Linked DNA regions of Rattus norvegicus. The protein of the gene in region 1 interacts with the protein of each later gene in a pairwise test. Links are inferred from orthologs where the notes say so. Each region holds a gene or a part of one and is shown on either strand. Other genes may lie near its edges. The genes, in order: Mapk3, Dcc and Dhps.

Region 1 (3,750 bases):
TTTGCTGTTTGGCACGCGCACGTGTGTGTGTGTGTGTGTGTGTGTGTGTGTGTGTGTATCTGTGTCTGTGTGTGTCTGTGTGTGTGTCTGTGTGTGTGTAAGAGAGAGAGAGAGAGAGAGAGAGAAACAGATTGTACATTTTAATTGATTTAGTTATCTTTGTTCACAGTTATCACCCTTTCCCTCCTTCTCATATGAAGTGGGCTGGGTTGCATGTCCTCCAGGCAATAACACTGGGTCTCAGAACACACCTGAGCCCACTGCAGGCCTGCCTCTTCACAGGAGCATACCTGACTTCACAGCTTTCTAGTGCTGCCTGCCATCCACCACCCTTCAGACTGCTTCCTCACTATAACACTTAGGATAAGCCCACCACCACCACAGGGGGGCCCAGCAAACGTGGGTACTTCCTACCAAGTCTGACAGCCCAAGTCGGATACCTAGGACCTGCACAGCAGAAGGAATCTGATATCCTCTGATCTCCACACAGGCTCTGTGACATACTCATGCCCCAACACACAAAATTAATAAATGTGGCAAATAAACGAATAAGAAATTATGGAATCTGGGCATTGTGATACAGTCTTTAATCCCAGCACAGGGGAGTTAGTATGCTGAGGCCAGCCTGGTCTACATAGTGGGTTCCAGGACAGCCAGTTCCATGTCAAGAGACCCTCTTAGAAAAAGGAAGAAAGAAAGAAAGGAAGGAAGGAAGGAAGGAAGGAAGGAAGGAAGGAAGGAAGAAACGAAGGAAGGAAGAGAAAAAAAGAAAAAAAAAGAGAGAGAGAAGATGGAAATGTGGCTCAGTGATAGGATTCTTGCCTAACATCCAGAATCTGCATGATGGCTCAGGCCTAAAGGTAGGAGGATGTGGCCAACCTCCACCACATAGAACCTTTGGGGCTGGCCTGGATTAATACTGTCTGCGTAAATGAAACAAAAAGTGAGAGGCAGGTCTCCAAAGTTTAGGGGTGGGTTCCCTCAGCATCACTCAGGGCCACTGGCCCCTGGGGCTGCAGTACTCTCTAGGCAGACTAAAGTACCCTAGTGGCCAAGGCAAGGAAGGAACAGCGTAACTAGGCGGGAAAGCCGGGCGCGCTCTCAGTAGACCACGTGACATCGCGGGCCCGCGCAGGCTCGCCGGGCAGGCGCGGGGGCGGGGCGCGCGGGGGCGGGGGCGGAGCCTGGCGCGCGGCCCCGCGGTGACAGGGCGGCAGGGAGGGGCGGGGCCGCGGGCGGGGCAGCGGGGGGAGGCGGGAGGAGTGGAGATGGCGGCGGCGGCGGCGGCTCCGGGGGGCGGGGGCGGGGAGCCCAGGGGAACTGCTGGGGTCGTCCCGGTGGTCCCCGGGGAGGTGGAGGTGGTGAAGGGGCAGCCATTCGACGTGGGCCCACGCTACACGCAGCTGCAGTACATCGGCGAGGGCGCGTACGGCATGGTCAGGTGAGGGGGTGTCCCAGGAGGGGGCTTCAGAGCGGGGACAGCAGGTGCGTGCCCGGGACATGGGGTCCGGGGAGTGTCGCAGGGGAGGGATCGTGCAGTGACTTCTGGGGGACCAGGAGCTACTTTCTCCGGGAAGGGGGGTTGGAGGCTTGGAAGCCACCTTGTATTGTTAAGGGAGGGGCACCTGGGGGACCCTAGAGATACAGGTGGAGCTAAGAGGATGACTATTCTTGGTGAAGGGGGAGTGAGAGACCCATAAGCAGGTAGTGGGAGCCTTGGTTCCCCCCTGATGAGGTTGTGACAGAGTTTGAGAGAGCAGAGCAAAGCTCAGGGTGGGGCAAACCTTTGCACCCCTGCCCCTGGCCTTGCCAGAGGCCCAAAGTAGGGAGGGGTCTCTAGAATGTGCCTTATTTTGTGGGATACAGGTTTGTGAGTTCTCGCTGCCCCACTCTGTGCTCTGGGCCTTTGTTCCTATGGGAACAGCTCTGACCCAGGAACCTCACCGGGAGACAGACCTACCCCTTCTTATCTCTTCCCCTGTCCCATTACTGAATCCTCTGGGTTTCATCCACTCTCTCCATTTAACTCCCATCCCCTGGACCTGTCTTGGATTGAGAGAGTCCAGCTCAGGAAAGGGGAGGAGGGTGAGGGCAACTACAATGTAAGAGGGTCCAGGAGAAAGGAAGTCAGTGAGTGGCCACTCTCTTCCTCTGTTTGTGAAGTCACTGAAAGGCTGCCTGGCTGGTCCCCAGCTTTCCCCCTGGAGATTCCAGGCCTTCACAGCAGGAAGGAGCCAGCATTGTTTACACTTGGCCAGAACCCTCTCCTGCTCTCTCCGGTCCCTGCCAAGGCCTGGGTGGGGCCACCAGGCCTGGATTCCCCCTTTGTAAGGCCACACATCTCTCTGGCTCTCTCAGCTCAGCATATGACCACGTGCGCAAGACCAGAGTGGCTATCAAGAAGATCAGCCCCTTCGAGCATCAAACCTACTGTCAGCGCACGCTGAGAGAAATCCAGATCTTGCTGCGATTCCGCCATGAGAATGTCATAGGCATCCGAGACATCCTCAGAGCACCCACCCTGGAAGCCATGAGAGATGTGTATCCTTTAGCCACAGCTCCAGAGCGAGGCTAAGGAGCTTGGCTTTGCTTTCTGTTGTCGTCTGTTGTGCCACCCTCAAAAAAAAAAAAAAAAAAAAAAACCAAAAAAAACCAAAAAACTTAAAAACCCAGCAAAGTAACTTTTTAGCTGAGAGTCTACGGAGCAGAAGAGCACCCTGGCAGGCCTTGGATCCTGGTCTGTTGCAGCCAAGTGGAGTGGCCTTGAACACATCCTTTTCTGCTCTGTGCCCCAGTATGGTGTGTGGGGAGGGGAGAATGCTGGGCAAACCATCTCTATGGGAGCTTTGTCTTCTGACATCTGCAGTTCTGTGACATGACCCAGTCTCTGCCCACAGCCCTTTCTTGCTCAACAGACTCACGATTCTTTAGAGACCTCACACTGGATTGAAAGCGAGGAAGAAAACCAGCATTGGGCATGCCTAGCGCTTTGGTTCTAATTCAACCTTTTAGCTTCCCTGTGTGATGAGCTTTACCGCGTCCATTTCTAAGATGAGGAAACTGAGGCTCTGTGTTTTGCTGGGCCTTCTGTGGGGGAGGGGCGATACTTTCTCCAACGTGGAGAGGGTGGAGGCTTTCACACCACCTTGCATTGTTAAGAGGAGGAACCTGAAGACCCTAGACTCACAGGGCGGAGCCACGCCTTTGCACTCCTGGTCTAGCCAGGGGCTCAAGGAAGGACGAGGGGCCCTGAGAGTCTGCCTATAGAAGAAAGCCTAAATTCAGCTGTTCCTGTTTGTTGCTTCCTCTTCTTCCCCAGTTGGCTTTCTTGGAGCCTTCCCACTCTTCTGAGAGCCCCACCCTGATTACCTGCGGCCTTGTACCTTGACCAGGAAAGGTAGTCCAGCCCTTGTTGCCCTTGCTTGACACTGCTTGCCTAGTTCAGACATTTAGTTCATTGTCCACATGTACTTCCTGCTTGGCGCCATTGCTAGTAGACTGTAGCACCCATGGCCTCTTCCCTACCCACCCCTCCCGATCCCAGGATTTGTTCTGCAGCCTCTGCAGCTCTGACCACAGGAAATCGACTACTCCTGTCTTGTTGCATGACCTTCAGCAGGTCTCTGCACCTCCGGACTTCCACATTTGTAAAGCGGCAGGGTTGGTCCATGTGTGTGTATCTGCATATGCTTGTTCTCTCTTCTTCTTTTTGAGAAAGGGTCTCCCTATGTAGACCAGGCTAGCCCTGAA
Region 2 (3,650 bases), on another chromosome or scaffold:
GGTCTTTATTGCAAGGAAGATATATGGCCCTTGTGAATTCTAGTGGTTTGGCAATCGTAACCCTAGCAGACATAACATTGATGTATTCTGTGTTGCTGAACAGCATGGCAAGTATTTAAAATGCTGTGAAGAGCCTTATTGCACCGAAATGATACAATCTAATATTAGACTGCACCTCAATGACTACATCCCTGAGCCTACACTTCCACAGAATACTAAAGTCAAAGCCACTTTATTTTAATATCTCACAGGGAAGGAATTGTTCCTCACTTCACGACTGAAACAGTGAAAACATAAAACTGAACCTGGGTTGCAGGAGACACACCTTGTAACATTCAGGGCATTTTCATTAGCAGGATAGAGAAAGTTGCTTTTTGTAAGGGCATCAAGATGACAGCCGGTTTCATTCCTACCATCAGAGGGGCTTTGGCCTTTGGAGAGTTGATAGGAAATATTCACGAGTCCAGAAATATACAAGCTGCCGAAAGTCCAGGTGCATGCATATCCCTATCCCCAGATATGAAACCTTTCCGGATTTCTCAGGACTGATCCCACCTGAGCCTCTTAATTAATGACAGTTATGATTAAATTCACATCCTCCCCATGAGTTATATACATCTATGAAATTCTACAAGCTCATCCTTCACCAGGTCCAGGAAACTTACACCTTGGTCTTCATGATCAGGCTATCTTCTCACCTGTCTCTTTAGGATAGTGGTTCTCAATCTTTGGGTCGTAACCCTTTCTGGGTGGACTGACTTTTTCACAGGTGTCTCAGATCATCTATCCCACAAATTATATATTTGCAATACAATTCATAACAGTAGCAATGTTACAGTTATTAATTTTGGCGATCACCAAAACATGAGGAACTGTGTTAAAGGTTACTGTGTTAAAGGTTTGCACCAGGAGGAAGGTTGAGAAGCACTGTCTTAGGTGTCATTACTAAACAAGGCAGTATTATCCTCCAGTATGATGGACAAAGTTTTGTCTGACTGCTGAAAGGTTTTCAAGAATATGGGACTTACAAATGTCTAACCCAGGTCATTCTGTGGCAAATCCGAATGACTAGCCATTATTCTGCTCATAGCCGATTAGCCAGCAGAACACATCAGCGGAGGGAAAATCTGAGGGAACTGGTTAGGGATGAGCCTATGTTAGTTTGCTATAGCAAAATATCATAAATTGAGTCACCTGCTTATGATAGGAATTCTTCCTCACAGTTTTAGAAGCTGCTCTTCCGAGATAAGAGAGTCAGCAGTATTTGGTTCCCTGATTGCTCCTTCCAGGGATCACCCCATTGACTTGCTATTCCCACAGGTCAGGAAGCATGTTTTAGCTCACTATATGCCCCCTTTTGGAGTCACTACCTATTCAAATGCCAGATCACAGTCACGTCATTATAGTCACTAATATAGATGAGATAAAGAAGTGATCAAGTCATTATAGGCACTAATAAGAACAATGATCTGATACCTCTCCACATGGATCTAGTACTTCCCAGGCGACCAGAAATGCTTAGAAAAACTGAAAAGTTGGGGCAGACACAGCAACAGTTTGGGTCTGAAGAACACCCTGCCCTGTTTACTTAATTTAGATATATATTTAAGGTTCATAGATGAAAGGTAAAGTGTGCACCTTATGCTTTGGCATTGAGCTGGACATGTCAATAAGGGAGCTACACTTGAAAGTACTAATGGGACATTTTTATTTCTCACTTGAGGTCTACATTACAGACTAAGACACTGATTAAAATAAAATGTACTGCTGTCAGGGCTTACAGCATTGATTTTATGAATGTTTAACACTACTGAGTCTGTAAAATAGAATTGATTAGGGTATATTTTTTTCTAAAATCTTACTAAAATATGTCCACCAGTTCATGTAAGCAGTGAGTCCATATGAGTCAGCTATGCTGTGAAAGCAGATTACATGTAGCTATGCACACTGCTGAGCTGCACCTGCCGGCTTTCCATGTTAATTGAAAAAGAAAAATTAGTTAAAAAAAAGAAGAAGACCTTGTGATACCAGTCCTTTAATCTTCATTTAGTTCACGTACAAATGGGCATTGTTGGTAGAAAACCTTATATGTGACATCATGGATGTTATTCAGAAAACTAAAAACAGATGCAGCACAAGAAGAATGTCACCAGGTTTGTTACCACCTATGGATGAAGTTAGTGAGACAAGCGGATGACTGTAACCTCATGCTTCCTGTAGGAGTAGCTACAGTGCCCATTTAGAATTATCCTTCATGGCCATCAGCAGACGTGAGATACATCAACAATGGAACTGCATCAACCCAAAGAAAGGAAGAATGCTGTTACTTTAGACAACTTGTTGAGCCTGGGACATATTATGTTAAGGAAAATAAGTTACAAAAAGAGAAATACTGCATATTTTTACTTACCCGTGGAATCTAAATTATTGAGCTCACAGAATGATAACCAGGAGAGGCTTCATGGATTAGAAGGGTGAGGTATGAATGGGGGCCGAGGGTTACAGCTGTACAGAGTATCAATTTGAAAAAATAAAACATATATATTCTAGACTGATGATTCAGCATAGTGACCATACTTATAATTGTAATGTGTTCCTTGCCATTGCTCAAAGAGTTATTTCAAATATTCTCACTACTCAAAAATGTATGCAAACTTAGCTTGATATAATTGTGAATGACCATATTTCAGCTTATAGATTGTAACTGTTGTAATTAAAAAAGTTAAGTTTCAAAATGCGCACTGCTTTTACAAGGATTATCTCTCATGCCTACTAAGGATCTAAGAGATAAAAGAAGTGGGAGAGAAGAAAATATCTACATACCTGCTACCATAACTTTTGCTGTCCGACTAATAATTGAGCCAGAGTCTCCTAAGGATGCCTCGCATTGGTAAAGTCCTTCATCCGGTTTATGGTGTCTGGAATGAAGTATGTTTTGTATCAACAGAGACCCATTAGGAAGTTGCTGCTTTCTGTCATCCATTCCCAAGGCCAGGATAAGGCCATCTTTCTTCCACTTGATGACTGGGACTCCGCGGTCAGACTCTGCAGAGCAGTTGAGCAGGACGTTTCCTCCCCGCATTGTGACAGCATCAGAAGGTTCAGACACAAAATGAAGTGACGTGAAAGGTTTAATTTGGAAACCTGGAAGGAGAGAGGAGAAGGGAGCTAAATTCATGCAGTCTGAGAAGTCGCAATTTCTACAACATTTCATCACAAGTCTTATTTTTCGAAAAGCAGTTTTGTTTTTTTTTTGTTTTGTTTTGTTTTTTCCTCTAATTATAGATAAATTTAAGAGCAGGGATTCTGTGTTAGACATAAGACAAATTCTTATGTGAACACCGATTAATGAAGCAATTAGCCACAAAAATATTACTAGGAAAGGTAACAATTCATAAGCTATAGATAAGAATATTATTACATCATTCATTACTTGAAAAATTTAGACAGCCGTAATTAGTATTTGCCACATAAAACTGGAAGATTTTAAGTCTGACCAGTCAATAGTGTGATAGCTAAGATATCATGGACTTGATTAAGCTCATTATCTGCATTTTAGTATAGTATTTATTAGTACACTGATTGATAAACCCAGGGCCTAGACAAGTTCTCAGGAGATCATAGGGTTTGCTCACTTTTCTCAGACAGCT
Region 3 (3,750 bases), on another chromosome or scaffold:
AGGAAAAACCACACATGGCTTGAAGAAGGTACTGGCACACTGAGCAGTGTCTTATTGTCCAGACTCTTGAGCTGCACTGTCCCTGGGCACATGGTACCCTGGGTCAGGCCCCACCGACTTCTAAAGCACTACACCGAGTCCCAGGAGTGTAGGGGCATAGCTAGGAGAACCCTGCAGTCAAGTGACGCCTAGCCTCTCTGTTCGACATTCCTCGTCTAACTCTGGGAAGACCAAGAATGATTACTGAGACTTTTAGGTGGCTACTAAGTCAAACAAGTCATTGCAAGTCAAAGCCTAAGTACTGTCCCCAAGAATACTGTCCCCACCCAACCCACCTTATGGGCCCAATAATACACAGACTCTGGGTTGTTGATCTCCTTCCCAAGCCGGGAGATCATCTTGGAAGGTGTCCACTTCACACCCTAACAAGGGGGAGAATATCAGTATTAGCCCATGTCTTCTGACTCAACTATGCAGGTCCACCTGAGCCCTTCCAGCCCTACCTCTGTATTCTGCTCCTGCACCATCTGGTCTAGGATGGGCATGAGCCAGTCCTCAAACTTGCAATAATTGTCATTTGGCACCAGCAGGTTCCCGATCCTAGAAATGGGATCCATGAGGGCATCAGACACTGGGACCCTCAACGCGGCTTCCCTGCTCCTACCACTACTCAGAGCCTCACCTGTTGATCCCATTCTCCCGGAGCTCCTTCCCCCTGAGGCTGAACTCGCCCAGATATGTGGGTGCCAGGCACTTGATGAGATCTTCTTCCACCCCTCCAGCAGTGGTCACCAGTACATCCACCTGTGGTCACCAGCAACAACACAGACCCTTCTTCAAAGTAGTGCCCCTAACATTGGCCTGAGCTCATCCAGACCCAAAGCATGAGCTCTATGACAAAACCAACTCAAGCCTAAAGCAGACCCAGAAAACGTGGCACACTCTTGTGATCCCAGCACTCAGAAAGGAGGCTGAAGTCTAAGAACTGCCAGTATGGGTCTAGAGAGATGGCTCAGCAGTTAAGAGCACTGACTGCTCTTCCAGAGGTCCTGAGTTCAATTCCCAGCAACCACATGGTGGCTCACAACCATCTGTAATGGGATCTGATGCTCTCTTCTGGTGTACATGAAGACAGTAACAGTGTGCTCATATACAAAGGAAGGAAGGAAGGAAGGAAGGAAGGAAGGAAGGAAGGAAGGAAGGAAGAAACTGCCAGTATGTCTAAAAGCAATACTCCATTTCCTCACACCCTTTAAGATTTATTTTATGTATGTGAATACACTCTCCCTCTCTTCAGACACACAGAAGACCCCATTACAGATGGTTGTGAGTCACCAGGTGGTTGCTGGAAACCAAACCCAAATCTTTCACAGAACAGCAAATACTCTTAATCTCTGAGCCTCTTCATGTTTCTTAAATGAACAATAACCCTTTTGTCTACTGGCCCAGAGAGGCTGGGGCCACTGATCTAACGTGGACCCACCATATTGTGCTGCACGAGGTAGCGAATGGTCTCCCGGATGCCAGAACTGATGAGGTTGGACGTATAGCCCAAGAAAATGGTGCAGCCTGTGAGTGGGCGGCGGCTCTGAGTCAGGTCTTCGTGATGATCTTCATCTACTGCCAGTGGTTCCAGCTTCTTCTCAATCTGGGCATAGGGGCACAGTAAAGTTGCACTAAAACTCCAAACCTCAGTGGAGGAACCCCACATGAATTGGATTCCAGACGTTGATTGCACTCAGGGAGACTACTACAAAACCAAAGCACAACCCCTGTGCAGACCCTAACCCTCCCATTCCAGGTCCTGGTCTGTCACTTGGGGTTTGTTCCCTTTTAAGAACAACACAGTGTCTTCTCTTCAGGACTCCTTCCAGTGGGAAAAGCGAATCCAGGGCTCTCCCAGCGTTAAGCTCCTCCTACAAGCCCGTTTTGATTTTAACCCCAAGCTCCTCCCATCGCGGAACACTAGTTAACCAGGACTCCGCCTCTCCCCGGCACTCACGCGGACGGAGCGGCCCCGCCTCCCACCCGGGTCGCCCGGCGCCTCACCATGGCGTTGACTTGCTGCACCGCGCGCCCGAAGTTGGTGGCCTGGAAGCCGGTGGTGCCGTAGGCTTCCAGAAGCGCGTGGTAATCTACCCCGCGGTTGAAGTCGTAACCTTGGACCTGGGCGCTCTCGGGCGGCAACGCTGAGCTGTGCTTGAGCACAGCGGCCAGCGCCGAGGAGGGCGCCGCCCCCGACGGGGTCCCCTCCATGCGCTCTCGGCCGTTCTCTGGTCACAGCAGTCTCGGTGCCCTGGAACCCGCCAAATCCTTCAGCTTGGTCCGCCGGAGCCCAGGAAATGCGACTCGGGGGCGGGGGAGGGGTACCGGAAGCTACTTGAGTCACATGGCCCTGGCAGCGCCTGCGGGCCTGGTAGCAGCCATTTTATTCCCGTGTTCCGTACATGTGGTCCAGGAGCTGTTTGTTATTCCTTGTAGGCAGATTCAGCTTCAAGTAGATAAAAGTGCCTGATTTGCAAACTGTCTGTCCAAATATTCTTGTCCCCCCATGAGCGAGGTGATTGTTTCTAGGACGGAGCCCTTGGACAAGTTAGTTGCAGACTTTTGTCAAATGGGAGTGTTTTCTTTCGGTGCTTCCTCGAGTCGCTACAAACTTCTTTTCCCCCTACAACCATAGTTCAATTTTCACTGGATCATAGGCCTCTGGGGAGACAGGGATGACCACCATCTTTTTGCCGAAAGAAGTTTGTTGAGAATCTTTTCTCATGCGTCCCCTTTAATGATACACTGAACCTAGGACAGGGGCACCCTCATTCTACAGTTTGTGTAATCTACACTAGAAATAGTGCTCTCTGCTGGGCGCTGCGATTTAGCAATGGACTCTGCCCTCCTGATGACTATAGTCTGATGAACAGGAAACCATTAGGTGGCTAAACCAGCAATCAGGAGGTGGAGGCAAAAGAATCTCGAGTTCCAGGCCAGCCTGAACTATTGAAAGCAAGACCCTTTCTCAACAAAAGGGACGGGCATGGCTAGGGAAATAGCTGTCTGTACAGTCCTTGCTTTGCAAAAAAGCAAGAGTGTGGATTGAATATGTGTGTTTAATTGCCAGAACTCAAGAGGGGTAGGGGGTTGGCAATACCAGTAATAGCTCTGGGTAAGCAGAGACCAGTAGATCCTTGGGGATGGGACCTGAAGAATGGCTCAGTAGCCAAAGGCCCATGATAGAAGAGTCTGGACCTGTTTACATTATTGTCTGACCTCCACAAGCATGCCATGCGTGCACAAGCTCATACACACAGGTTTAGGGACCAGGTGAATGAGAGTGACATCTGAGGTTGTCCTCTGGCCTAGAAAACACACACACTCTGTTAAGTGTGAAGGTGGGTTGGAGGAATTGGTAACCAGAGCTGAGGGAAAAGGTGACTGGAGAAAACTGCCAAACACATGATGTTTTGACTGAGGCCAGAAGACCCAGAAAATTCCTGTTATAAAAATATCAGAGACACTATTTCCCCAAAGATGCACAGATAAAGGTCTCCCCTTCGTTTAACCTCCTCTATAGGCTAGCAGTGCCCAAATGCCACATCTGGCTGCAGGGAGATCTGCAATGGGTAGTATGCAGGAGGGCAAAAGGACTTGAATCCCAAGTGAGAGTCTGATGACACCTACTGCTGTAGGGAACAGGTTCCGTGAAGGTAGCCACACTGCACTGAGTCAGAGAATGATGGCCGATATGCTCAGATA

What was found.
Region 2: the proteins of Mapk3 (region 1) and Dcc interact in a two-hybrid assay, tested with the Homo sapiens proteins (2 studies listed by BioGRID). The link is inferred for Rattus norvegicus from reciprocal best matches to the Homo sapiens genes MAPK3 and DCC.
Region 3: the proteins of Mapk3 (region 1) and Dhps interact in binary tests that used the Homo sapiens proteins (3 or more experiments, as listed by UniProt). The link is inferred for Rattus norvegicus from reciprocal best matches to the Homo sapiens genes MAPK3 and DHPS.

The regions. Positions count from the first base shown.
Region 1 is NC_086019.1:190,795,960-190,799,709, forward strand, and holds the start of Mapk3 (mitogen-activated protein kinase 3), read left to right. Parts: upstream 1-1,234; 5' UTR 1,235-1,268; coding exon 1,269-1,441; intron 1,442-2,358; coding exon 2,359-2,541; intron 2,542-3,750.
Region 2 is NC_086036.1:67,845,613-67,849,262, forward strand, and holds part of Dcc (netrin receptor DCC precursor), read right to left. Parts: intron 3,145-3,650; coding exon 2,824-3,144; intron 1-2,823. UniProt on the Homo sapiens protein: Receptor for netrin required for axon guidance. Mediates axon attraction of neuronal growth cones in the developing nervous system upon ligand binding. Its association with UNC5 proteins may trigger signaling for axon repulsion.
Region 3 is NC_086037.1:39,989,089-39,992,838, forward strand, and holds the start of Dhps (deoxyhypusine synthase), read right to left. Parts: upstream 2,331-3,750; 5' UTR 2,257-2,330; coding exon 2,050-2,256; intron 1,649-2,049; coding exon 1,484-1,648; intron 805-1,483; coding exon 683-804; intron 601-682; coding exon 504-600; intron 423-503; coding exon 336-422; intron 1-335. UniProt on the Homo sapiens protein: Catalyzes the NAD-dependent oxidative cleavage of spermidine and the subsequent transfer of the butylamine moiety of spermidine to the epsilon-amino group of a critical lysine residue of the eIF-5A precursor protein to form the intermediate deoxyhypusine residue.